Arabidopsis thaliana: one gene and its partners. The protein of the gene in region 3 binds, or shares a complex with, the protein of the main gene of each other region. Each region holds a gene or a part of one and is shown on either strand. Other genes may lie near its edges.

Region 1 (10,478 bases), on a different chromosome or scaffold from region 3:
AGCATCTGCGATGAGTGGCCAGTTAAACAAATTACAGCATATTCCTTCATGTGGGCACATTTCTATTTAACAAGTAACACAAAGATCGTGGAGAATATGACTCTTAACATAGACGTAATGTTAATACTAACTCAAGTTCCCTACTAATCAATCTTTCACAAAACTTCTAAAAATATTGCCCATTGACACGGTTTCACTTACTAGGAAATGCTAAAAACTAGAGCTTGACCTTGTAAACGAGTTTTAACATCTAAAAACTATCAATTGTCCAACATGTGAGCTTGTTCTGTTTACTCAACGTCGGCTTTCGGGCTACGAATGATTAGAACATATGAGAAAAGAACGAAAAACAATAACCATGGAGATGACATGAGAAAGAAAAGTTTACCTGTATAGTTAAGAGCACTATAATTCATCAACAAAACCATTTCTCCATGAAAATCAACAATCTCTTTCTTTATATTTATCATCTCTTCATTAGAATTCTTCGCTTTCGCCACTTGGTCCTTCAATTCCTACGATACCAATTCCCACCAAGAAATAGAGTTGAATACACTATGTAAACTAAAAATGCTCCACGCAATAATTCTAGCCTTAGGCTACAAAATAAGTAACATGGACCTAAATTTTTAACTAACTATGCTCATTTCTCATTCAACTACGTTTCCAAACGAATCGAAACTACTAATTCAGATGATTTACGAGGAATCCAAGCTCCGGTCATTCCGGTGACGGACTTCACCGGAAATTTGGCCGGAGTCATTCGTCATAATAGTAATTCCAACAACATCTACTTATGAAAAATCTTAGAATCCTATGAATTGGAATCAACAATCAGTAAATGCAATCAAAACTAACAAATTGATCCCAAATCATCAAACCTAACAATTCTACATCAAAACCTAAGTTTTTGCATCGTTCCACATAAATTTTTGAGGATTTACCTTCAATCTAATGATATACTCTTCCTCTTGCTCAACGAAGAAGGAATTGAATTTCTCAAGCTCATCTTCAAGAAGACTAATGAAATCAAGCTCTTCCTTGGTCATACCAACCGTTGGATCTGTGTCGACAGAATTGGAATCGGATCTCGAACGTTTATTTGGACGATTCTCGACGCTTCGTGGCTCCATAAGCTTGAGCTTCTTCTTGAGTTCTTTGTATGAGAGGAATTTGTCGCGCCATTCAGGTAAAGTTTCTTCGATCTGGTTGCTTAGGCTCTTGCCGAACTTCATGGTTAGCTGAGAATAAGGAAGAACAATCAAAAGTGAAAATTGGTTACAGGATTGATGGTGGTTTGATAATATTAATATTAGTGTTTTATTTTATTAAATGAAGAATATTCGTGGTTTTGTTTTTGGAATATCCAATTTTAAATTTTTTTTGTTGAAGCATATCTTTTTTAGAAATAATATTTATTCTTTGTTTATTTTACGTATTGGATAATTTACAAAGGCACGAGTTTTGGGATACGAAGGAATTGGAGTTAATTGATCATAACTGTTTGATCACCGGTCAAAAGAGTTGGGCTTAGTACATGATGATAGCCCGATTGGATGAATGTATATGGGCCAGTGTGGCCCATGTAGTTACAATTGTGAGTGGAAACAAAGGAGGTAAAGTGGAGACGCTAATGGTCGACGAAAAAGGACCCAAAAAAGAGTCAAAGACCCATACAATGATACAAAAGGAAAAAAGGAATGAAGTTTTATATGCAACACACTTGTAAATTAGAGAAATACCAGCTCATAAAAAAAAAGAGAGAAATACTCTAAAATACTATTAAACTAAATTTGTGTTTCATATATATTTGGTCCAACTGGTCAGAGCGCGAGTCATGTAATTAATAATTATCTTAATTTAATGTTTTCTATAAAAAAAGGTCTTAGAACCTGTTACAATAAAATAAAATATAAACTCTTGCTCTATAATTAACATGTTTTCAATTTATCTAGCATAAATATTTTCCAAACAAGAAAAAATGATAAAGTGTGTTATATAGTGAAAAGTTAAAACTTGAAAAAACAAAGAAACATAATCCATTTTAGAACAACTAAACATAAATTAAATCAATTAAGTTTTTAGAATATTATATATATATATATATATATATATATATATATACTAGTTGTATTTGTCACAATCAGGACTTAGGGAACCCCTCCAGTTTCTATTTGGAAATACCAACTTGTCCCATATTGAGAATACATTCCTATATAAGATAGGAATTTGGAAACACCCGAACAGTTATGGGATGGAACAAGAAGTGTGCTAACCTCTAACTGAAATATTAGTAAATAAAGAAAATTCTAAAAGTAAAAGAAAATTGGTTGTTACGCATCTAACATTCTCTATAGGAAATAGCCATCTCTATGATGATTTCATACTTTTGCCAGTTCCTTGGCTTATCTAGGATTAGCTCCATCATTTGGCAATCCGATTTACGAATTCTTCCTATCAAACTCACAACACTCTTTTCACTAGAGCAATATTGAAGTAGATCAAATATATTTAAAAGGTCATCTTCCTCCCCTAGCGACATAGCAATCAAACCTTTATGATTTATCTATAGCAGTAGACATCTTGTAAATTAAAACTTTAACTATATGAAATTTGAGAAATCCAGAACTTGAAGGAAAAAATAGCAACAAATATTTGTAGTAATAAGACCACTTTAATGAGGTAACTGTTATAAATGTGATGATTATCCATCACATTACTTCTCTTTCAAGAAAATGGATAGTTATCCAAAGTTCATTATTATCCCTCATCATTTTACATTATCTACTTAAATCCTAAGTAGCTTCCTCCCCAAACAATGGTAGTTATCATATCCTAAAGGCTAAATGTCTAGCTTATCTTAAATTCCCTATATATACGATGATGGACAAGAAGTGAGTAAGATAGACGAGGAAAAGGTGAACAAAAGGGCTTACGATCTAGGGATGATGAACCAAAATATTTTTCTTTTATGCCCAAACAAAGAAAAACTATTTTTTTACGATTTGCTTTTCCTTTACTCGTTAAAATAAAAGTATGACAGTTTAACATTTATTGCTCTTTATGCAAGTATGCAACCAATCATACCATAAGTTGCAATCAATATCTCACTTCAAATCTCCATACCACAAATGAGCCCAAGAATGTTATATGATCGATCACCTAAAATATTTTAAAACAAGTTTTAAGTCGTGTCCTACATCTATATGTGTTTTTTTTTTCCTTTAGTTAGAAGTCAAACAAACAATAAAATAGTAAGTATAATGATTGAAAAACTTGAGATCATGCTCTGATGTATAAATTTTTGGTCAACTCTTCCTCTTCGGTCTAATTTTTCTTCTTCTGTTAATACAATTATTTATGAGCAAGAATGATATTTTATTTTATCTTGAAATGGAGAAGCCACCATTAATGCTACAGTAAGGGTTAAGACGTGAAAGTGGGGCCAACCACTGTGTTGCCGAGAGAAAACTTAATTCCTTGAAAGTGAAGGGATCCAAAGTCAGAAATGACACACACACCCGTAATAAAGCCAACTAGCCAAGAGTTTTTTTTTGTTATAAAGAAAAAAAAAAGGTCTCACTCATCAACAACGAGTGAAAAAAAAATGTGAAACCAATAAAGCCAAGAGTTAAGCTGCTTATTTTGCCTCTTTTGCCGAAACCAAAAGAACAAAAAAAAGGAACCATCAAAGAGGAAGCCAAGAAAAAAAAACGTCGGTGATGAGAGGAGGGGCTTTGTTATGCGGACAAGTCCAAGATGAGATTGAACAGCTTTCGAGAGAGAGTAGTCATTTTAGTCTTTCTACTGGAATTTTACCTTCACTTGGTGCAAGAAGTAATCGACGAGTTAAGCTTAGGAGATTCGTTGTATCTCCTTATGATCACAAATACAGGTTTCACTCTTTTGTTTTTTGTTTTTCTTGTTTCTCTTCCATGTCAAGCTAAGAAGACGATTACCATTTTAACTTGATATATATTTCAACTATATAACTTCTGATTCTTTCATTTATGAGGATCGGAAACAAGAAATTAACTTTACTTTAGGATCATAGTTAACAAATTTGTATTTTATTAAATGAATACTGAATATAAAAAAAAATTGTATTCTTTTTAATGGTTGGTGATCAACTTTTGTAATTTATTGTGGGTAAATACTATTAAGTATATGCACTAGATTAACTAACCTTATTTTCTATGAGTTAGGTGAATAACTATTTGGTTAGGTTACAAGTTTACCCTCAAAATAGTAAGAGTTTCATGTTGGTTTTAAACAAATAACATGTTATTTTATCTTATTGGACTATTTTATTTGAAAAATGTTTTAATTTCTTCATAAAATAAAAAAATTACGTGCAAATAAAAAATGCTAGTTGGTCAAACAACACAAAAATGTTGGTTTCCACGTTTTTTTACCTCAACAACAATTGATTTTTAATAATAATATTTTCTTAGGTTAATTTGAAAATTTTAACTACTTGACGACTAAAGCTCCCTTTTTACTCAACATTTGGAATATTCAAATCCTAGTTCCCTAATATTCAAAAAAGAAGATCTATAAATGTGAAGGCTATTGTAGAATATTCAAGGCTCCCATTATTACTCTCGTTGGCTAATTAGCTTAAAAGCCGCCTTTGCTTTTGGCTTTTGCTTTTTGGGGATAATTTATAGTAATTGAAAAAGAGAATGTGGAACATTCAAGGCACTCATTACTTGATTTCAACGACTGATATCAAATCTGATATATTACTATAACCAAAAGTAGAAAAAACTGTACTTGGTTGTTGTATCCTCAATAGCGTCATCAAATAGTAACATACTATTGAAACACAAAGTACTGATAAATTAAATATGAGACTTACTTGGATATATTCATGCAGTAACTTAAGAGATATGTTCAACTACATGTAGAAAATGTACTAGATTATTGAATATGACTGAAATGGAAATGTTGACTACAGGATATGGGAGGCTTTCCTAGTGGTTCTTGTGGTTTACACAGCTTGGGTTTCGCCTTTCGAGTTTGGGTTCTTGAGAAAGCCAAGGCCACCACTATCTATCACCGATAACATTGTGAACGCATTCTTCGCCATCGATATCATCATGACATTCTTTGTTGGTTACCTCGATAAATCGACTTACCTCATTGTTGATGACCGTAAACAGATTGCATTTAAGTACTTGCGTTCTTGGTTCCTTCTTGATCTTGTTTCAACCATTCCCTCAGAGGCTGCTATGAGAATCTCATCTCAGTCTTATGGATTGTTTAACATGCTTCGTCTTTGGCGTCTTCGCAGAGTCGGTGCCTTGTTTGCCAGGTTAGAATCACTAAACTTTTCTTCTTTCTTTCATTATTTTCTTTAATCTTGACATTCTCTGTTTAACAGACTAGAGAAAGACCGCAACTTCAACTACTTTTGGGTCCGATGCGCAAAACTCGTTTGTGTAAGAACATCAAAATGTTTTGCTTCTTATAATGTTATCTTTATTCAAACTACTACACTCTCGATGTAGTAATAGTGTAGATACTAACCAACCAGAGCATTTTTGCAGGTCACTCTTTTTGCGGTTCATTGTGCTGCATGTTTCTATTACCTTATCGCAGCGCGCAATTCTAACCCCGCAAAGACCTGGATTGGTGCAAATGTAGCAAACTTCCTAGAGGAAAGCTTGTGGATGAGATATGTGACTTCCATGTATTGGTCCATCACTACTCTAACCACTGTTGGTTATGGTGATCTGCATCCTGTGAACACAAAGGAGATGATATTTGATATCTTCTATATGCTCTTCAACCTCGGATTAACCGCTTACTTGATTGGTAACATGACAAATTTGGTAGTCCATGGAACAAGTCGGACTAGAAATTTTGTAAGTTAGCATCTTCATATCCATCTTCAATCTTTGAAGCATATCCATCGCGGTTTATAATATTTTGTTCTCATTTTGCAGAGAGATACAATCCAAGCTGCTTCAAATTTTGCTCATAGAAACCATTTACCACCTCGTCTGCAAGATCAAATGCTTGCACATTTATGTTTGAAATACCGGACTGACTCTGAGGGTCTGCAACAGCAAGAAACTCTTGATGCACTCCCAAAGGCCATTAGATCGAGTATATCACACTTTCTTTTCTACTCCCTCATGGATAAAGTCTACCTGTTTCGAGGAGTATCCAATGACCTGCTTTTTCAACTGGTATACTAATGACAATGCATGTGAAAACATCATTCATATCCCATTTTCAACACACAAATGAAGCTACCACTACTTTGTACATTTTACAGGTCTCAGAAATGAAAGCTGAGTATTTCCCACCAAAAGAAGATGTTATCTTGCAGAACGAAGCGCCAACAGACTTCTACATCCTTGTGAACGGAACCGCGGTAATAAAACATTACAAAGTTCTCTACAGATTTGTTGAGTTGACATAAAACTTACTTCTCTTACATATCCGTTATGATGCAGGACTTGGTGGATGTAGATACTGGAACAGAAAGCGTAAGTCGCGTCACTTGATGGATGTTTCTTATTTTATGTTTATCCCTTTTGTCTCCATACCTGTGATCTTGGAGTTATGATGTAACTAAGCATTCACAAAGAGAAGTTTATGGAGAATTTCAGATTGTGAGAGAGGTTAAAGCTGGAGACATTATAGGGGAGATAGGGGTGTTATGCTACAGACCACAACTGTTTACTGTGAGGACCAAACGTTTGTGCCAACTGTTGCGTATGAACCGTACAACTTTCTTGAATATTATTCAGGCCAATGTTGGTGATGGTACCATAATCATGAATAATCTACTTCAGGTGAATAAACAGATCCTTCTGAGGTTTTCAAATATTGAAAACAGAAAAGTATCTATGAACTATTACTTACTTGTTCTCACTCTCTTTCTTTGTGGAGAGCAGCATTTGAAAGAAATGAATGATCCGGTGATGACGAATGTTCTGCTGGAGATAGAAAACATGCTTGCACGGGGTAAAATGGATCTTCCTCTCAATTTATGCTTTGCTGCAATAAGAGAAGACGATTTACTTTTACATCAGTTACTAAAGAGAGGACTTGATCCAAATGAATCGGATAACAATGGCAGAACACCTCTGGTCAGTCAAGTTCACATTCTTGTTCTGTTATTTTCTTCTCATCCAAGCTCTTGGAGACTATAACTTATGATCTCTTTTTTTTTTCTGGAAACAGCATATAGCAGCATCAAAAGGAACTCTAAATTGTGTTCTTCTTCTGTTGGAGTACCACGCAGACCCCAATTGCAGAGGTACTTGCTTGTTCAGTTCTGGTACTTCCCTTTTGATTTCAGGATTTCTTCTGAAGTATTGAGCTTCTTGGTTTCTTCGAAATGTAAACGCAGACGCGGAAGGGAGTGTACCACTGTGGGAAGCAATGGTGGAAGGGCATGAGAAAGTTGTAAAGGTACTGTTAGAACATGGCAGTACCATAGACGCAGGGGATGTGGGTCATTTTGCTTGCACGGCGGCTGAGCAAGGAAACTTGAAACTACTAAAAGAAATTGTTCTTCATGGTGGAGACGTTACTCGTCCTAGAGCCACAGGCACCTCTGCGCTCCATACCGCTGTATGCGAAGAGAACATTGAGATGGTAAAGTATCTTCTGGAGCAAGGTGCGGATGTTAACAAGCAGGATATGCATGGTTGGACGCCGAGGGATCTTGCTGAGCAACAAGGGCATGAGGATATTAAAGCCTTATTCCGAGAAAAGTTACATGAGAGGAGAGTGCATATCGAGACAAGTTCTTCGGTACCTATACTCAAAACCGGGATCCGGTTCCTCGGAAGATTCACTAGTGAACCCAACATCCGTCCTGCATCAAGAGAAGTGTCTTTCAGGATTCGAGAAACAAGAGCAAGACGTAAAACTAACAACTTCGATAACTCGTTGTTTGGTATATTAGCAAATCAAAGCGTACCCAAGAACGGGCTAGCTACGGTAGATGAAGGCAGAACTGGAAACCCGGTGAGAGTGACGATTAGTTGTGCAGAGAAAGATGACATAGCCGGGAAGCTGGTACTGCTTCCTGGGAGTTTCAAGGAGTTGCTAGAATTGGGTTCCAACAAGTTTGGTATTGTTGCTACCAAAGTTATGAACAAAGACAACAATGCAGAGATTGATGATGTAGATGTTATAAGAGATGGAGATCATCTCATCTTTGCAACTGATTCTTAACAACCATAGAAACTCTCTGCCACATTCTATCACCTATTGTTATTAATGACAAGTTGATAACTCTTGTTTTTAACAACTTTGTCAAAAAATGAAAGAGACAAAGAATGCTTAAAGGAAATATATATGCAGACACAACAACCAAAAACACAAGCTGGACCGACCATTGACGGTCTGCTACTGACTACAACAAGTTTTTCCGCAAAAAAGAAGAAAAATATTGTTAACCAGTTTGGTGTATCTGATTATCAAATCAAGAAAAAGGTAAATTCACTGGGAAGACACAAAATATCAAAAGCTGAAAACTCAAAAACCTCTTCTGAAAATTTGCCACTAAGTGGTTTCTAGATTGTGGAGACCTTGGGGACTTCAACTGGGAACTCATGAATTTCATCCATCCATGGGTTCTTCTCTTTCTTAGGGTTTACCGACCTTACCGCTCTCCAAACCGAGCTGTTGCACTTGAACCCCGAACCAAAAGCTATCTGCCAAATTCTATCACCTTTCTTGATCCTTCCTTTGGCCTCACTATATGCTAATTCATACCACAAAGAAGAACTGGACGTGTTACCAAAACGGTAGAGTGTCATCCTCGAGGGCTCCATATGCCACTCTGTGAGTTTCAAGTTCTTCTCCAATTCATCAAGAACAGCTCTCCCTCCTGCGTGGATGCAGAAATGCTCAAACGCTAGTTTGAAGTCTGGGATGTAAGGCTTGATCTTCATCTTGAAGAGTTTTCTTCCCACTAACGTTGCAAAGAACAGAAGCTGTTCAGATGTCGGTAAAACCAGTGGTCCTAACGTCGTAATATTTGTCTTTAGAGCATCACCCGCAACAGCCATAAGTTCTTTCGACAAGGTAACACCAATCTTACTTGCGGAATCCTCTTCTTGAGTTATGCAACCAAAACACTTATCATCAGCTCCCTTGTGAGTCCTAACCGTATCAACAAGCTCATATTTCGATCTTCTTCTGTCCCATCTTTTGTTCGAAAGAAGAATCGCTGCACCTCCCATTCTAAACAGACAATTAGAAACAAGCTTCGACCGGTCATTCCCGAAATACCAGTTCAACGTAATGTTCTCCATACTAATCACCATTGCATAAGTGTTGGGAATAGAGTGAAGAAGATGTTTAGCAAGATCAATAGAAATCAAACCAGCACTGCAACCCATTCCTCCCAAGTTGTAACTAAGTATATTCCCGCGGAGCTTATAGTGATTAACAACCATAGCAGATAACGAAGGTGTCGGGTTAAACAAACTACAGTTAACAATCAAGATCCCAATATCCTTCGGGTTCACATTCGTCTTCGCAAGAAGCTCATCAATAGCTCCAAACATAACAGTCTCGGCCTCTTTTCGAGCTTCTTTCATACACGGGTTAGGCGGAACATTAAGTACAGCCTCGGGTAAGTAAGTCGATTCCCCGAGCCCCGAACGTTGTAGAATCTTACGCTGGAACTCAAGATTCTCCTCTGTGAAAGAGCCAGTGAGTTTAGAACGATCCATAAAGATCTTTTTAGTGCATTTTCGTGACTCATCGGGTTTAAAGCACGAGAAGTTCACCAAGTAGACAGGACGTGGTCGAGTCATGAAGTAAATAGTCATTAAGAAAACAAGCAGCATAGAACAAACAACCACTGAGATAAGATTGTACTGAAGATGCTCCCAGAGGCTACGAAGATCGGTGACAGAGAAAGTTGAAATCTGTGCAGCGATTACAAGTACTAATGGGGAGAGGAAAAGGTACATTCCATGAGTGATAAGGTAATGGTAACCAAGCTTCACATATTTAAGCTTCACTGATTTTTTGAAATCAGGTAGATTACGATCTGATGATTCGATTAACGGTTTCTTTTGCTCTACATCCATAGCTTCCTTCTTCTCTGCTTTGACAGATCAAAATTCAATTACTAGATTATAATCAAGATTTTAAAAATGGAAAGAGAGCGAATTCAATATGCATTTACAAGACCTAGATTCGATTTCACTATCATGTTGTTTTTGAAGCATTTAGATTAATGAGGAAAAGAAACAGAAACAGAGACTAACCTTACTTGCAGAACTCTGAATGCTTACGGAGAAACCGAGAAGAAGAGAGATAGAGAAAGAGGGGCAATAATTTGTTAACTCTTTTTTTTTCTTTTTTTTGTCACTGCACAGTTGTCGCAGGAGCTGTCGTTAACTGTTTTGAATTTTTAGAACGCTAGAGGTTAAGAAATAAACAATATAATATTCCTCAATTTTATTCGGATCTACAAAAAAAATCTTCTAATT
Region 2 (7,801 bases), on a different chromosome or scaffold from region 3:
TGTCATCTTGGGCTAAGCCCGGTTTGGAAGTATGGATTCTGGCCGTAACACTTTAGAAAATAAAAGGAAACTTCAAATATTCTGATTTAAATTTTGCTTGGATTTTTCAGTTCCGTTGCTCTCAAACTTCAAAGTATGTGTGTCATCCTAATTATAATAATAGTGATTAAATAAGTGTAAAATAAAAAGTAGTATTTTGTCCTCCCATCCAAAATAATTAGGGCTTTATCCTGATCCAGAACATCGTCTGTCCGTTTCCATAAAATACATGCATATTGCTCATATTCAATCTCTGTAGTCAATTTTGACATGCACCTCATGTTTATTTTTTTGGACGCAAGTTGAACCTATTACAAAATTGATGATTTCATCTCATGAGTAATTTACATTAATTTGAGGCCGATATAATGAAATTACAATTTTATTTGCAAAATATATATTCTTAAGAAAATAAATCCCAAAAATCAAAATCTTATAACTATGTGACTTTCATTAATAGCCTGTGTTTTCAAGTAAAGAAACTAAATTAACAAAGCAAAAAATAAAATAAAATAAAAACTGTTTTTCATAAATCGTACGTACTATCAAAGTATTAATCTTGTACGTTGTAAGTTGTAACATAAACGATGATATATAGAATCCGCACTTGAAATACTAATTCCAACATTAAACACTCCATATTATATTCAAAATATGTAATATATTGTCCAAAAGCAAAAACAACTTCTTGACCTTCCACCATTACGACTAGTTGTCACGATGCAATGAATGTAAGTAAATTGGTTATTTGTTTTTTTCTTAACTTTTTAACTTTATTTCAAATTCCAATTTAAGTTCAAAAGTTCAAAGAACCTAAAATTAAACGAGAAGTGTTGCAGCAAAAAAAAAAAACAGAAAGTAAATGACCACGTAAGTACACATGGATGTATCGTAGGCCTAGGTCGAGGTGCATGCCAATTGCCACCATGCACACTAAACTTTGGATATTTCTACTAAAATAATACCAACTTTATCAAATCCATATATTAATTGTAAGGTCATGATAACTCATACGCTATATTCCAAAAACAGAAACTGAATGATTTTGTCACCTACCAAATGCATGATTCTAGCACCTTCAGTATTGGACTATTGGGAGTCAATTCAATTACAGTGATTTTGGTTGGATCGGTGGGTACACGAACGAGAGGGCCCATTTAATCCTCTCCATTTCCATTTTAATGAGATTTGATCAGTAACACTCATCACAAATATCTTATTTTAGTTTCTGATGAGCGATGATGGTCTTATTCACACAATGCTATTTACTTTTTCCCAAACTCATTTTTTTCCTTATTGCTAGATCATGAGCAAAACTATTGATTCATGATTGTAGTAGCACTTAAGTGTTGCGAAACCAAATTAAAGATGAAAAAAAAATTGTAGGTGGTACATCAATTAATGTTTGCTTTTAATAGGGTGGATGTAATTAATGAAGTACTGATTTTCCATGAAGAAGACAAGCCAAATGAGAGCTTGAGATCTTGAAAACAACCAATAGAAGAGTACTGCCTATACATGACATGAGCATGATAAAATGTTTTTGTTTAAAGTACGGAATTTGATGATCAAATTTTTTGTTGTTGATCAAAACGTAGAAACACAAACTATATATCGATCGCCCCCGTGAGTAGTACGTATTATTATTTCAAAAGTAAATGATTTTGCAGACTTGCAGTTATTCATTTATAAGCGAAACGTTATCTTATGCAATGTTTACATTTGCAACACCAATTAGCTTCTTTTTTTTACAGTTGAGACTTGAGAGACACATTAAAGCTTGTCATCGTTCACTGGAGAGAGTAGAGTGTGTGAGAGACAAAGTGACCTAACTTCACTGCAACAGTAGTCGGTAAATATCCAAACATAAGAGCTACGATGGTAACACGTGTACGGTGGAGGAAAAGAGAGCCCTCAGATTCCGTTATAAAGGAGGTGAGACCCACTCGCCGGAATGGAAACAAAGGAGAAACGTAGAGGTAAATGGTTGGGCCACTGCTTCACCAAAAAGCCTTTTCTATCTTCTTTTTATTTTTGTTTTGTGGCTTTTAACGGTTAACAATATAACTCCTCATTCCAAGACAATTACGTGTCCTCTGTACGGCTTTTTCATTTTTCACTTTCTACTTCATAGTGACTTTAGGGAGGCCTCAATTTTTAATTACTCGAGGATTATTTAGGTAATCATGAATGTAACTACAGCTTTACAGGTAATTAAACAGATGAGATTTAGTTGCGTGAAATCTAGCTGATCTGGTGCTTATATCAAATCCAATTGATGGAGACAGATTTGGACTTAAATTCATGATTGTATTTGTAATCTTATATACGTTATAGTTAAATTTCTTTCTCTCCGTACGTACTCTAACTATAATTATTATTAAATGCTGAACGCAATGCTTTTGAGTGCTGAGAATCTTTTTGGTCTGATTCAAAAATGATGTATTAGTACTCTGAATTCAATCTTAACTTCTGCAACGAATCAATGTATTAATTTATAGGAGATCCGGATAAAATTATGGATATATGCACGCTACTTCTTTCATTTTTAATTAGGTAAATGGTTATAACTTTATTTTATATATCAATTAAATGATTTTGGTATGAGATTACTAGTACACTTTCTTTGCAAATGTTTTAAACACGACAAGACAAAAATATTACAAGCATATTTTGGTAAAAAATATCATAAGCTTTCATATCAAAATCATTAGTTATGATGTTAGATTTTTTTTTTTTTTTTTTAACACTACAAAAAGCTCTGGTCTTAATATGTTAGAAATTTTAGTCCAAACCAGCCTACAGAGGATTTAGCTAAACAATTCCCAAGCACCTTTTAAGTGTTAACCGAAATAACGTAATATGATGTTAAAGGTTACATAAAAACAAAACTAAAGAATTTTCATATGAAAAGTTAACGTACGTGTCTTAGTGTAACCTAATTTTAGTTCACAGTATATAAATTCTTTAATGAGATGATCGCAAAATCGCTGTATACAATTTCGTACTTAATTCGTTAGTCTTGAAAAGTTGACCTAATTTAGATCAAATTAAGGTTAACTACAATAAAAATTTAACTAACGTAATGGGATTCTTTAAAATTAAAAAATCGTTGATTAGATAGATATTTTATCTTTAAGGGAGACACAGAGACAATTTGGACAAAAAAGGTCTTCCTGAGAAAGAAGTGGACCACAATCGTGGCGCGAAAGGAACTTCCTCCTCCCCTCTGTTGCCTTGTCATTGGGCCACGTATATCTCCACCTGATCGTGATGCTTACGTGGTCCATTTCTAGATACTATAGTGACCAGATCAACGGTCAAGATTGATTCTAATTTAGACGAAAGACCAACACGTCACGTCGCTAGAGTAAAAGATTTTTTGAAGGCGGAGGGAGAAAAATCAAAAGTTAAAAGTAATTTGAAAACGAGGAAGAGAAAAAGGAATTTTAAAATGTTTAATGAAGCGGTAGGCCGCATGGGTATATAAATGGGCACGCTTTGTAACGTGTAACGATGATATTTATTCAACTGCGTGGTATAACCAAAAAAAAAAGAAACACTATTCGACTCTTTTTTTGTTTTTGTAATAAACATAAAATAAATTTTGGAGAGAGATATTTCGTCGGAAATTAATTGACGTTCAAAAGATTCGTTACCGGAATATTTAGTAGAGGCGGCGATCGAGTTATGGCGGATATTTGTTATGAAGACGAGACGTCGGCTTGTGAATCAAGACCGTTGTGGTCTAGCCGGAAGTGGAGGATCGGTGTCCAGCGATTCAGGATGTCTCCGTCGGAGATGAATCCCACGGCGTCGACGACGGAGGAGGAGGATAAATCTGAAGGGATTTATAATAAGCGAAATAAACAAGAAGAGTACGATTTTATGAACTGTGCATCGTCGTCACCTTCTCAAAGCTCTCCTGAAGAAGAGAGTGTATCACTTGAAGACAGTGACGTCTCTATCTCCGATGGAAATTCATCGGTTAATGATGTTGCAGTTATTCCGTCGAAGAAGACGGTTAAAGAGACGGATCTGAGGCCGAGATACGGCGTCGCATCGGTGTGCGGGAGAAGAAGAGATATGGAAGATGCGGTTGCGTTACATCCGTCTTTTGTACGGAAACAAACGGAGTTTTCTCGAACAAGATGGCACTATTTTGGTGTTTACGACGGCCATGGCTGTTCTCACGTACGACGCCGTTTTACCCTAATTTGAAAATTTCAAAATTATTGATATATTTACGGTTTTGCCTGATTGAAATATACGATGTCGTTTTTGTAGGTTGCGGCTAGGTGTAAAGAGAGACTTCACGAGTTAGTGCAAGAAGAAGCGTTGTCGGATAAGAAAGAAGAATGGAAGAAGATGATGGAGCGTAGCTTCACACGTATGGACAAAGAGGTTGTTCGTTGGGGTGAAACTGTGATGAGTGCTAATTGTAGGTGTGAGCTTCAAACGCCGGACTGTGACGCTGTTGGATCCACCGCCGTTGTCTCCGTCATTACGCCGGAGAAGATCATTGTTGCGAATTGCGGTGACTCAAGAGCAGTTCTTTGTAGGAATGGTAAAGCAGTACCTCTTTCTACAGATCATAAGGTCAGTCTTTATCTCTTTCTAACTCTTTCTTGATTTGTTTGATTTAGTGGATTTTAACTCTTGTTTACGTTTGAAAATGAACAGCCTGATCGTCCGGATGAGCTGGATCGAATCCAAGAAGCAGGAGGACGAGTGATATACTGGGACGGTGCAAGAGTCTTAGGCGTTTTAGCCATGTCACGAGCCATAGGAGACAATTATTTAAAACCGTACGTCACTTCGGAGCCGGAAGTGACGGTTACGGATCGGACTGAGGAAGATGAGTTTCTGATTCTAGCGACGGACGGGCTATGGGACGTAGTGACGAACGAGGCAGCGTGTACGATGGTGCGCATGTGTCTCAACAGAAAAAGTGGTCGTGGAAGACGGCGAGGAGAAACACAGACTCCGGGGAGGAGGAGTGAAGAAGAAGGGAAAGAAGAAGAGGAGAAGGTGGTGGGGTCAAGAAAGAACGGGAAGAGAGGAGAGATCACGGACAAAGCATGTACGGAGGCGTCAGTATTGCTGACGAAGCTGGCGTTGGCAAAACACAGTAGTGACAACGTAAGCGTCGTCGTTATTGATCTCAGAAGAAGAAGAAAGAGACACGTTGCTTGACACTAATCTCCTCATCACTCTTACTCCACCGTTTTTTGTGTTGTTTAAAATGATTCTTTTACCTTGGGACGAAGGTAGCTCAAATCTTTGAACCCAAAAGAGAGAAAAAAAAAGCATTAGGTCTAAAAAAAAAACCCCGGTTTACTGAAAGCGGTTAAACCGGGTATGGTTGGGTCTTTTTTGTTCTGAACCTTTTTTTCTTGCCTTTTTTCGGTGTGTAATGAACAAACAGAAAAGGAAGCCGGAATGTGTCACTGTCTAGGTGGAATCAGTTCAGAATTCAATTAATAAAAAAGTATGTATATGTTTTCTTGGCTTTTAAAGCAAACCAATTAACTCGGATACGCGTGGTGATCTTTGAGAACATCACCGGGAATTTTCAGTTTGTTGATAAAGATTTTAAAATCTCTATAAACGAGTGGGCCTTTTTGGTGTTGGAAGAAATTCAAAATCTCACGGAAACGAAAAGAGAGAGAAGATAATTGGGAAGAGGACGGAGTACGTGTCGAAGAGGTAAAAGTAGAAACCCTACACCACGTAAAGAGGATGTGACACACCGGAACGATGCATATGTTAATATGCGCATTCGTACGTGTCGGTGTCGGTGTCGGGTAATTGATTGAGATCTGAATATGAACCTAATCAGACTGTTTTATCTAAACATGATCACTGGTCTGATGGAAAATCAAAATTAACTTACCTGTCATGTAATGTAAGAATTTTATTAAGAAGGAAAATCGAACCAACACTCCCAAAGCATTTGGGCCGAGAATTTTGGGGTATTATATTTTCATCTGAATCCTATAAGGCTATAACCTACCCAAAAATTTGGTAGCGCAACATCTAAACTTGATACAGAAAAATGAGACAAGGATATATTAAGCTTCAAATAGATGACCCATACAAAATGTTTTAATTGCCCAACCTAAACACATACTGAGTTGAAGTACCATATGTTTTTTCAAATAGGCCACACGAGCAGCAATTCTAGTCAGACATAATAAACTAAGACACATGAGCGTTGCAGCAACCTGAAAGCAAAATGTTAAAGAAAAGGAGAGGTTGCAGAATAAGACCTCTCTAAGACAAATGTACTCTGCAATCCAAAGTGGCAATTTCACGTTTGTTTCATGTCACCGTTTTCTTTAAGGGTCTTCAGTCTTCTGTACCCCTTGTCAGTACCAAAGATCCTGAAGAACACCAGAGACGAATTATACACTGGATATTAATATCAGGACAACTAAAGATCTGTTCTGGAAAGCGAAGAGATATTAAACAAGTTCAGAGGTTCACCAGTCCATATACACAAAAGTTGAAGAGTAGTTTCCGGACTTTGTGTATAGCAGTCGGTGATGGTAGTCATGGAAGTCAGCACTGTAACCAAATCACAAAAATAATAATAGTAAAATCTATTAATACAAATGTCTTATGGTTTTAAGTTTCAAAAGAGCTGGCTAGATGTGTGATCTTACCCTCCATACAGAGGAAGAAAATTTGAGAGGCTCCATGGGAAATGATAACCACAATGTGCCTCAACTGTCTCCAGCACTCTCAACACCATCCATAACCAGAGAGTAATTAGGTGAGGGCCAGTAAGAGCTGGACCGACTATGGTAGCAAAACCCAGAAATAGAATCTCAGCGGGGTGAGCATATTCTGATGTCAAACCAAATGGTGTGGCATATCTGTGATATCATGAAATGGTTGCTTTTCAGAAACTCACAGTTTCAAGTATCAAGACTGAAAAAAAAAATGGTGAACATTGAAACTTACTCATGATGCACACTATGCACGTTCTTGTACAGCCATTTTGAATGCAAGATCCGATGACCCCAATAGAAGACAAAATCCTCAATGATAAAGTAGAATAATATCTGGGCAGACACTTCTTTCCTGCAGGACCATCACCAAAGAGGGTCTTATATACCTGATCAAACATGAGCTCAGGTTCTTTCATGATGCTCAACACTGACATCTTTTGATTATGTTTTTCTTTCTTTTTATTGCCAAATGGACGAGTTTAAGATCAATACCAGGACGGCAGAGGAAAACTGCTTCGCATTCCCATGGCTCGGAAGACAGGGTAGGAGGCCAACATCAGGGGCAAGTTTACGGAGAAATGATAAAGCAACAGGCGAGTAATACATTTTCCTTGGGCTGCAGGTGTGTTATTTTTTGTCTGCATAGGGACAAAAGAAAAGTATGTGTTGACCATAAAGGGTAAGAGAAGCATAGAAAAGGGTCATATTCACAATTATTAGTAATCGCTGAAATGGACATCAGCCTGTCATAAGAAAACACTTTTCACGTGAGACTGAATTCTTGGGGATCAACCTCTAGACTATCATATTCAAACCATCACACAAAGCTATGATTGCATACATAGAAGACACTTGTAAAAGATAAATAATAAGAAGAGAATAAACCTGAATTTTGTACTTGCTGAGAAAGCCTTGCCTTTCAAGAAAAATGAAAGGGAGTCCAGATAAGAAAAACACGCTTTCATGGAGGAGAAAACTCCCAATACATGCCAGTTGAAAGTCGCTAAAATGTGTCACAAGGTACT
Region 3 (7,579 bases):
TTGCTTGTTTCTTCTAATTTACTTATTCTACATTTGTTCCGCACCAAATTCATCTAGTATAATCTCACTATTCAACAGTAACTATATTTCTTCTGTTTGTTTCATATTATCTGTTTGTTATGCATCGAATTCATTTGTTCAACAGCCACTATTTGAATTCTATGGATCCTTCGGATTCCAAGAATAACGGATAAGAACCCACATGGAGAACGCTTCAACGGTCTTCACATGTCATAGCTCTTCTAGTTCTGTGGACAGAAGCAAAGCCAATATATCTTTGGGTAATCAATATTCATCATGTCTATTGTCTCGTCTTATTAAAGAAAACTAAAAAGTATGAAACATATATAATTAAAACGCATGTGGATCAATCTCACCATATTCGACTTTATAATAATACTGTATGATTTGATTTATCCCTTAAAGATCAGAAAGCAAACCTTAACTTTCGTCCTGAGTAATTCTGAAAGAGAATTCCGACTTGCGATCGATGAACATATGATAAGTGCAATGATTTTTAATGGGATAGATCAATACATTAATGCGTTTCAGTTATAAGTTCTTTGATTTTCCTATTTCTTCAGTATGCCATAATTAAATACCAAAAATAGTTAAAGATTTGTGTAATAAAGCTTTAGAAAGAAACAAATATACACCACATTTTCTATAATTTAGATAAACCACAATCCTTTTTTTAATGAGAGATAAACTACAACTTTTAATCTGTAAAGTTCTATATATATAATCTGGGTGGCCGACAGTTTCATATTTTTGGATGAAGAAAGCAAATTTTGATATTATCTGAAGGGTTTAGCAGAATTCTACACTCGTACAAGATGACTGAAGAAAATTGCAACGAGGAGAGCTATACAAACGGTTGACACACTCTAATTTTGTTCTACATAAATGATAGATCGGCGAAACTCGTACTGATACGTTTTCTTAAAACTGGGGTAGACCTTTGATCGAAACTCACGTTATTTTTCGATGGAAACAAAAGAACCCTTCACAGTTTCAACGTTGTGGCAGTAAAAGATGGTTATTCATTTTTCGTTTTTTATGTTACAGATCATGGGTTGGTGTTTGCATCTCCGTTAATGAATCACATGTTTGATATGATTATACTAAGAATTCTATTAAAAAGAGAGATATATACTAATATAATATTAATCGGGTTCATGAAACATCCATCCCAATCACGTAACTTCTACTTTTGTTTTGCTGCCCACCTCATCTTCCTTTTACTTTTCATATTCTATTCACTCATCTGAATCCATCTACTCCACTATTATTTATAATCAACAAATCAATGAATACTTGTCACGATCATTTTATTCAAAAAAAAAAAAAAACTCTGATCACTAATCATACAATCGTCGTCACATTTGTGCTAATCATATCCCTATTGTTATATGACAGATTTTACTAACTCGACTTACTCCACAAGCCCTCTATCATCGCTAGCGACTGAATTAACTTGATGATTCTACTACTCATCTTACCAATTTAAAACGCATAAGCTAAACGACTCAATAAAGTAAAAACGCAGAATTTTTTTAAGTACTTGTGTTAATACAATAGTCACATGAATCTTGAAGAGTATATACATGATTCAACACGACACTACAAATTGGACCAGCATAAACAAAGATGATGTCCTAATCAATCCAAGGTAAGAAGAGACGTGCAAAAAAAAAAAAAAAGACATTTGATGAGAATGAATGCATAAAAATTGACTCTTTAACATTCTTAAAAGAGTCATGATTATTATTTGTTGATGATGGAATCTTTAACACACCATTCTACACCACACACAACATTCTCTGCTTCGTGACGCAACATATCGGCCACGACTCAAACACACACAAAAGACTTACAACTTTTTGAACGATCCAAACTATGATACCACATTAAGAATCAAAAACAAGAATCACGAATCGAATCTAGAATCCAACAATATATATTACAACATAAAAATTTGAAACACGCAAGAATTCATCAAATTCAAGCAGGTGTAGAGGTCCAGAAAATGTCCTTGAGAGCTGGTCTAAGAGCAGTACTGCAGAAGTTGTTGTACTCAAGCGTATCTCCATGATCTTTCTTCACTTCCACGACAACAAACGACGGAGCCACCGCGAATATCTCCGCTTCCACCGCCAATTTCCCTTTCCGACCATTCTGTTTACCTTCAATCCTTACTCTACTCTCACTCTTCCTCACATCAAACTTATTCCCAACTCTCGCCGCTTCTTCCAAACTCGAAATCACGCTACTCGCTGGCCGAGACGTCGCGAATCTCATCTCTCTTTTCTCCTCTTTCTTCTTCTCCTCAAACAACGGCGACAAATCAAACCCTTCCGATAACGCGATTATATGAAACGCGTTTAACGTCTCCGTCTCTTCCTTCGACTTGTGCACCAAGAAATCAACATCCTCTTCCGTGGTTGTGATTGTGGCAGCCACTGGTTCGTTTCTTGATCTCGTTGCTTGTTTCTTGAACCAAGGCGAATCCATAACCTTCTCAATAGTAATCCTCGTATTCGGATTCGGATCAAGAAGCTTAGTCACAAGCCGTCTAGCATCAGAAGAAAGCCAACCAGGACATTTGAAATCTCCTCTGTAAATCTTCCTATACATATTCACAAGATTATCATCTTGAAACGGCAAATAACCAGCAAGAAGCACAAAAAGTATAACACCACAAGACCACAGATCCGCCTTAGCTCCGTCGTATCCTTTCTTCAATATAACCTCCGGCGCAACATAAGCCGGAGTTCCACAAGTTGTATGAAGAAGTCCGTCTTGTTTCAAATGCTCAGTGAAAGCAGAGAGACCAAAATCAGTCACCTTGAGATTACCTTCTTCATCTAACAAGAGATTCTCCGGTTTCAGATCTCGGTGATAAACACCACGGCTATGACAGAAATCAACGGCTGAGATCAATTGCTGGAAATAAACACGAGCTACGTCTTCACGTAGTCTTCCTTTAGCCACCTTAGCGAATAACTCACCGCCTCGTACAAGCTCCATGGCGAAATAGATCTTGGATTTACTCGCCATGACTTCGTGAAGCTCGACGATGTTTGGATGTTTCACCATCCTCATCACAGAGATCTCTCGTTTGATCTGATCAACCATACCAACTTTCACCACTTTCTCTTTTCCGACGACTTTCATCGCCACGCTTTTTCCGGTTTGTATGTTACGAGCGTGGTACACCTTCGCGAATGTTCCGTGACCTAGAAGACGCCCTAGCTCGTAACGGCCGTGAAGCAGCCCCGTACTACTACCACCGTCAGATCCATTCTCCACCGGTTTTGCTCCGACCATGGTTTTTTACTTTACAACGATGATTAGAGAATTTTGTAAAAAAGTAGAAGAAAAAAAAGATTTACAGTTTTTCGATATCTTCGAAGAATTCGAGAGACGAGAGTTTAGAAAACTGGATCACCCGTCCTCGACGTGTTTCCGGTGGCAATTCCTGCCGCCGACGGATCGGTTAAACCGATCACACAGCTTAGTCTTCACCGGCGATACTCCGACCATCTCTCTGCATTCCCTTACTTAGGATTTTTTTCCCCGAAATTCAAATAGAGATTTCAGAAGTAAATTTTTGAGTAAATAAACGAAACTCTCGTTTAAAGTTAAAAATCTTAATTCTCCTTTTGCCGTCGGATAAGAGCTAGCAAAAGAGTAGTGTTTATATAGATCTTAACGACATTGCAATTACGTAGATACCCTTATTAGGGAGTGATAACTACACCGTTTAACCTCCTTTCGCTGACTGACATGTGTCTTCGGCAATCCCTTGGCGGCTTCGAGTTTGTCAATTATTTGGATAGCGATGACGACACGTGTCTTTTTATGACCGGTCACGATGCGATTTACTATTCTATCCCTCTAGTGTTTCGTATTACGGATAGGGATTAACGGCCTAGTGATTAATTTTTTTAGGGCCTGACGGATTAAAATGCAGCGGGTGCGGTTATGGTTGCGGAAGTTTGCGGAAACTGGCGGTTGCAGTTTCAAGCGTTATCAAACGTTTTGAACGACTGGTTGAACGTTTGATAATGGGTGCGTTTGCGGGAGTTTTATGACTGGTAAACCAGCGGGTGTGATAGTAATTAAACAAAAATAAACCAAAATAAATATAATATATTACTATTAAAAGAAAGAAAAATATAATATATTATTATGATAAATTCATAATATTAGAAAAATTAAATATAATTAAAAATTAAAACCGTAAATAAAACATTAAATTCAAAAATAAATAAATTTTGCAAGAAAAAGCTTAATACTTTATGCATTTGGTACATCACCAAAAATTACATCAAATAGTGTGATAAACTGTAAATAACGTTGAACTCGCGGATTTTCCAGATTGCCTCTATACATATAATAAAGTTTCTTCAAGATATCCAAACGATTTATAACACATCTCCAACTCAAAAAAAAATCAAACTGGTCGTGAATGGATGAACGAATATATGATACTTACTTTTGATTATTGATTTTGATTTTAATTTTTATCCGTTTGGGTGGATGCCATAATTGAGAGAATAGAGTTACAATATATTAATTATTAGAGTTTTCTAATAAGAATAAGATATATAGGGTTTGGGTGGAAAATATAATTATTTTAATTAATTATAAAAATAATTTTTTTTTTAACCTAACCGCTACCGCCCGCAACCGCAAACGCTTGCGGGAAGGAGCTTTTGAAATCTGGCGATTTCGAGCGGTCCAAAGCGATATCTAGCGGTTTATATGATTGGTGCCAATCGCTAACAACCGCTACCACCCGCAAACGCTGCGTTTGCGGGTGGCAGAGGGAGAACCAATCAAGCCCTTAGTTTAACTGACTACTTACCCATTTGCATTGCATTATGCATATGGATAATTGAGGGAAATAGCATAATTATATACAATGAATCAAGTTCTGTATCTACAAAAATTCATAAGGTTTATAAAGAAAATAGTTGTGTCTTAATGTAGGGTCTGATAATTTTCCATAGATTCCATGATTCTTTACTATAATTTGTGTTCAATTGTTTTCATTCGTTGTGGTCCTTGTGGACCATTATGTGAGTGTAGATTCTAGGGTTTTCTACTTCATTTCTTTGTTTTTATACACGAAGATGGTAGATAAACTGTGAAGTTTTTCTTGTTTATTTTGAGGCTATAATTTTTGAAACGGATGTTGTAGCAAGAATATATAAATTAAAAACATTCATAGATATGATAATTATCATGTGGTCCGTAAATAACTAAAGTTTGGTTTGCTGAAGATTCTCTATATTACTACAATCAATCAATTAGCTAATGAGTTTTGAGAAGATTTTTTTTGTTTTTGTTTTAAATCGTTCCATTTTAAGAGGAAATATTAGATATGCTATTTTATTAAGTTGTTATGCCCAACAAATAAGTCGTTCCATATACTTTTCAAAATGTTAATAACATATTACATAAAAAAAAAAAAAAAAAACTGGATTAATCACAAAACTGAAAAAAGTTTTGAATCACAGTTCAACCATTAATTTCAACTATTCAAACCAGGTTAAGATAAAAATTAGTGATATACATTTGAAAATGTCAATTACAAAAAAAAAAGATGAAAAATTGAATTAAATACTTTTGACTTTTGATAGTTGTAGATGTTGATATGAAAATTCAGCTATAAAAACAATTTACACGGTAATTTTGTATATGTGGCATTTATTATTCATTTCTATAGCTATATTTGTTTGATAAAGGTATCTATAAACACTTGTAAATGTTTTTTAACTTAACTTTAGCATTGAAAAGTTAACAAGGAATCATTTTTTCATGATCTCATACTTAAACAGACGAGTGGCGAGAGCATAATACACGTGAAAATGATAATAAAACATAAGTATGATAAAGTGATAAGTAACGGAAATGAAAATCTAGTATAAGTTAACTAGACTACTAGATGACGGTTTATGTACGTTTACCGATATACGTATGTGTTTTGTCTACACTTTCGTATGTTTTGTGTAACTTGTACAAGTCATACGCACACGTGTCTTCCTTCCACTTGATAGTCTCTCTGTTGATAATTAGTTGTTTTATGCGTATGTTTAAATTTAAAAATGGTATTATATTATTTTTTATTTTGTTTACTACTATATATTGATTTCAAATGCAACGCCGTAGATAGTATTAGTCAAACAAACAATTAAATTAAAGTAAACGTTTTGATGTAGTCATACGAAATTGCCAAAAACATTAAAAAAATTTTGGTTTTTGCCTTGAATGACCCAACAGACCAACATGATGCTCTTTCCTCCTCGGCCACCAGAAACGTTTGGGCGGCTCTCAACGTCAGCGATCCCTACCTTTCTTCATGTGTGGACCTTCTCCGATCCTTCTTATATTGTTATACATAAATTTAAATATTATAAACGATATGCCTATGTGATTTAGTGTGATTAGATTTAGGGTTTATAATATAAGTTCTTATAAATATTGAGAAGAGTACTGCATTTCTGTTTTCACCACAAAACTATGTGCGATTAAAACGATGTGCTAGCTGGAGTTCAATGTTTTAATTCACAATTTACGAGACTCCTTTACTGCTTTCTGTTCTGCATTCTCTGTTGCTTCTCGTTAATAATTCTTCTGAGATCATGCCTACACTTGCACAACCACACCAAAAGAGGAGTACTATATGAAAAAACCTGTGCTATTATTGCCTACATGCATGGGACAAAACTATATTTAATGTAATTTGATATTCTTGGAATAAGTTGATGTTGTTGTATGGGCAATAGCGATTTCAATGATGTCAATATGGTTTGTTTAATAATTCCTATATTATATGCCATTATATATTAATTCATAGTCAACTGAAAAGAAATGTGCATTGTCAATAATACTCGAGGAATATTACTGCTTGCATAAAATAACATTAATAGTCTAAATGATGAGCCCAGTCTCATCAATTGCCTTTAGCACCATTACTTCTTGCAAGTTGCAATGCATGCACTTGATTAGATTCTCTATAAACTATTATTTTGTTTGTTGATATATATACCAAATATCTCATAATACAAATCACAGAACGAAATGAAACGATATATATGAGTTTCTAATTACTATCTTGCTTGTGCAACTATGTCTAGTTGTTATATATTGTATTGATGTGAACGGATCTATCAATATTAAAGCAATTATAGCAAACCTAAAAATAATCCTGATATTTATTGAAACAATTAATTGCATGTTCTCTTGGTAGCAGTTTAACGGGGGGAAACGAAGAGAAGAAGCAAAAACAAAAGCAATCACAAAGAAACAAAGAAGGGCAGGGATTTTCTGGTTCAGGTTCTATTACATGATAACGTAAGCAAGGGACCCAAAAGTATATTCTCACACTTTGGTAGGCGGTGTCTTGTCTTTTGGTCTCCCCCGTCGCGAGTAAGTACTACACTTAATATTGGAGTATAAAAATTAATGTTTTGGCAAATTATGATCATTAAGACACATTGGAGCACTAATTAAACGTTAAGTCGTTAACCAATTCAATTTTGTCATGTTATATTGAAAGTTGAAAACC

What was found. The genes of interacting proteins can lie anywhere in the genome.
Region 1: SIP3 (region 3) and KT1 share a complex: the UniProt entries of both Arabidopsis thaliana proteins name them as parts of the K(+)-channel calcium-sensing kinase/phosphatase complex.
Region 2: SIP3 (region 3) and HAI2 share a complex: the UniProt entries of both Arabidopsis thaliana proteins name them as parts of the K(+)-channel calcium-sensing kinase/phosphatase complex.

Annotation. Positions count from the first base shown.
Region 1 is NC_003071.7:11,329,689-11,340,166, reverse strand, and holds KT1 (K+ transporter 1), read left to right. Parts: upstream 1-3,428; 5' UTR 3,429-3,722; coding exon 3,723-3,895; intron 3,896-4,748; exon of another isoform or gene 4,749-4,960; coding exon 4,961-5,317; intron 5,318-5,386; coding exon 5,387-5,444; intron 5,445-5,552; coding exon 5,553-5,870; intron 5,871-5,951; coding exon 5,952-6,197; intron 6,198-6,286; coding exon 6,287-6,385; intron 6,386-6,467; coding exon 6,468-6,500; intron 6,501-6,623; coding exon 6,624-6,809; intron 6,810-6,911; coding exon 6,912-7,106; intron 7,107-7,200; coding exon 7,201-7,276; intron 7,277-7,369; coding exon 7,370-8,202; 3' UTR 8,203-8,317; downstream 8,318-10,478. Other genes in the region: SPX2 (SPX domain-containing protein 2 (SPX2)), read right to left, coding at 389-515, 945-1,235; KCS11 (3-ketoacyl-CoA synthase 11), read right to left, coding at 8,544-10,073. UniProt on the Arabidopsis thaliana protein: Highly selective inward-rectifying potassium channel that mediate potassium uptake by plant roots in response to low K(+) conditions, by a calcium-, CBL-, and CIPK-dependent pathway. Positively regulated by phosphorylation by CIPK23.
Region 2 is NC_003070.9:2,278,585-2,286,385, reverse strand, and holds HAI2 (highly ABA-induced PP2C protein 2), read left to right. Parts: upstream 1-3,557; 5' UTR 3,558-3,729; coding exon 3,730-4,233; intron 4,234-4,326; coding exon 4,327-4,638; intron 4,639-4,722; coding exon 4,723-5,235; 3' UTR 5,236-5,640; downstream 5,641-7,801. Other genes in the region: SMO2-1 (sterol 4-alpha-methyl-oxidase 2-1), read right to left, coding at 6,353-6,425, 6,529-6,609, 6,708-6,920, 7,009-7,128, 7,269-7,414, 7,662-7,799. UniProt on the Arabidopsis thaliana protein: Involved in the negative regulation of the K(+) potassium channel AKT1 by its dephosphorylation, antagonistically to CIPK proteins (e.g. CIPK23). Functions as a positive regulator of abscisic acid-mediated cell signaling during seedling growth.
Region 3 is NC_003075.7:15,063,151-15,070,729, reverse strand, and holds SIP3 (SOS3-interacting protein 3), read right to left. Parts: upstream 3,703-7,579; 5' UTR 3,331-3,702; coding exon 2,005-3,330; 3' UTR 1,547-2,004; downstream 1-1,546. Other genes in the region: AT4G30970 (uncharacterized protein), read left to right, coding at 1,420-1,464. UniProt on the Arabidopsis thaliana protein: CIPK serine-threonine protein kinases interact with CBL proteins. Binding of a CBL protein to the regulatory NAF domain of CIPK protein lead to the activation of the kinase in a calcium-dependent manner.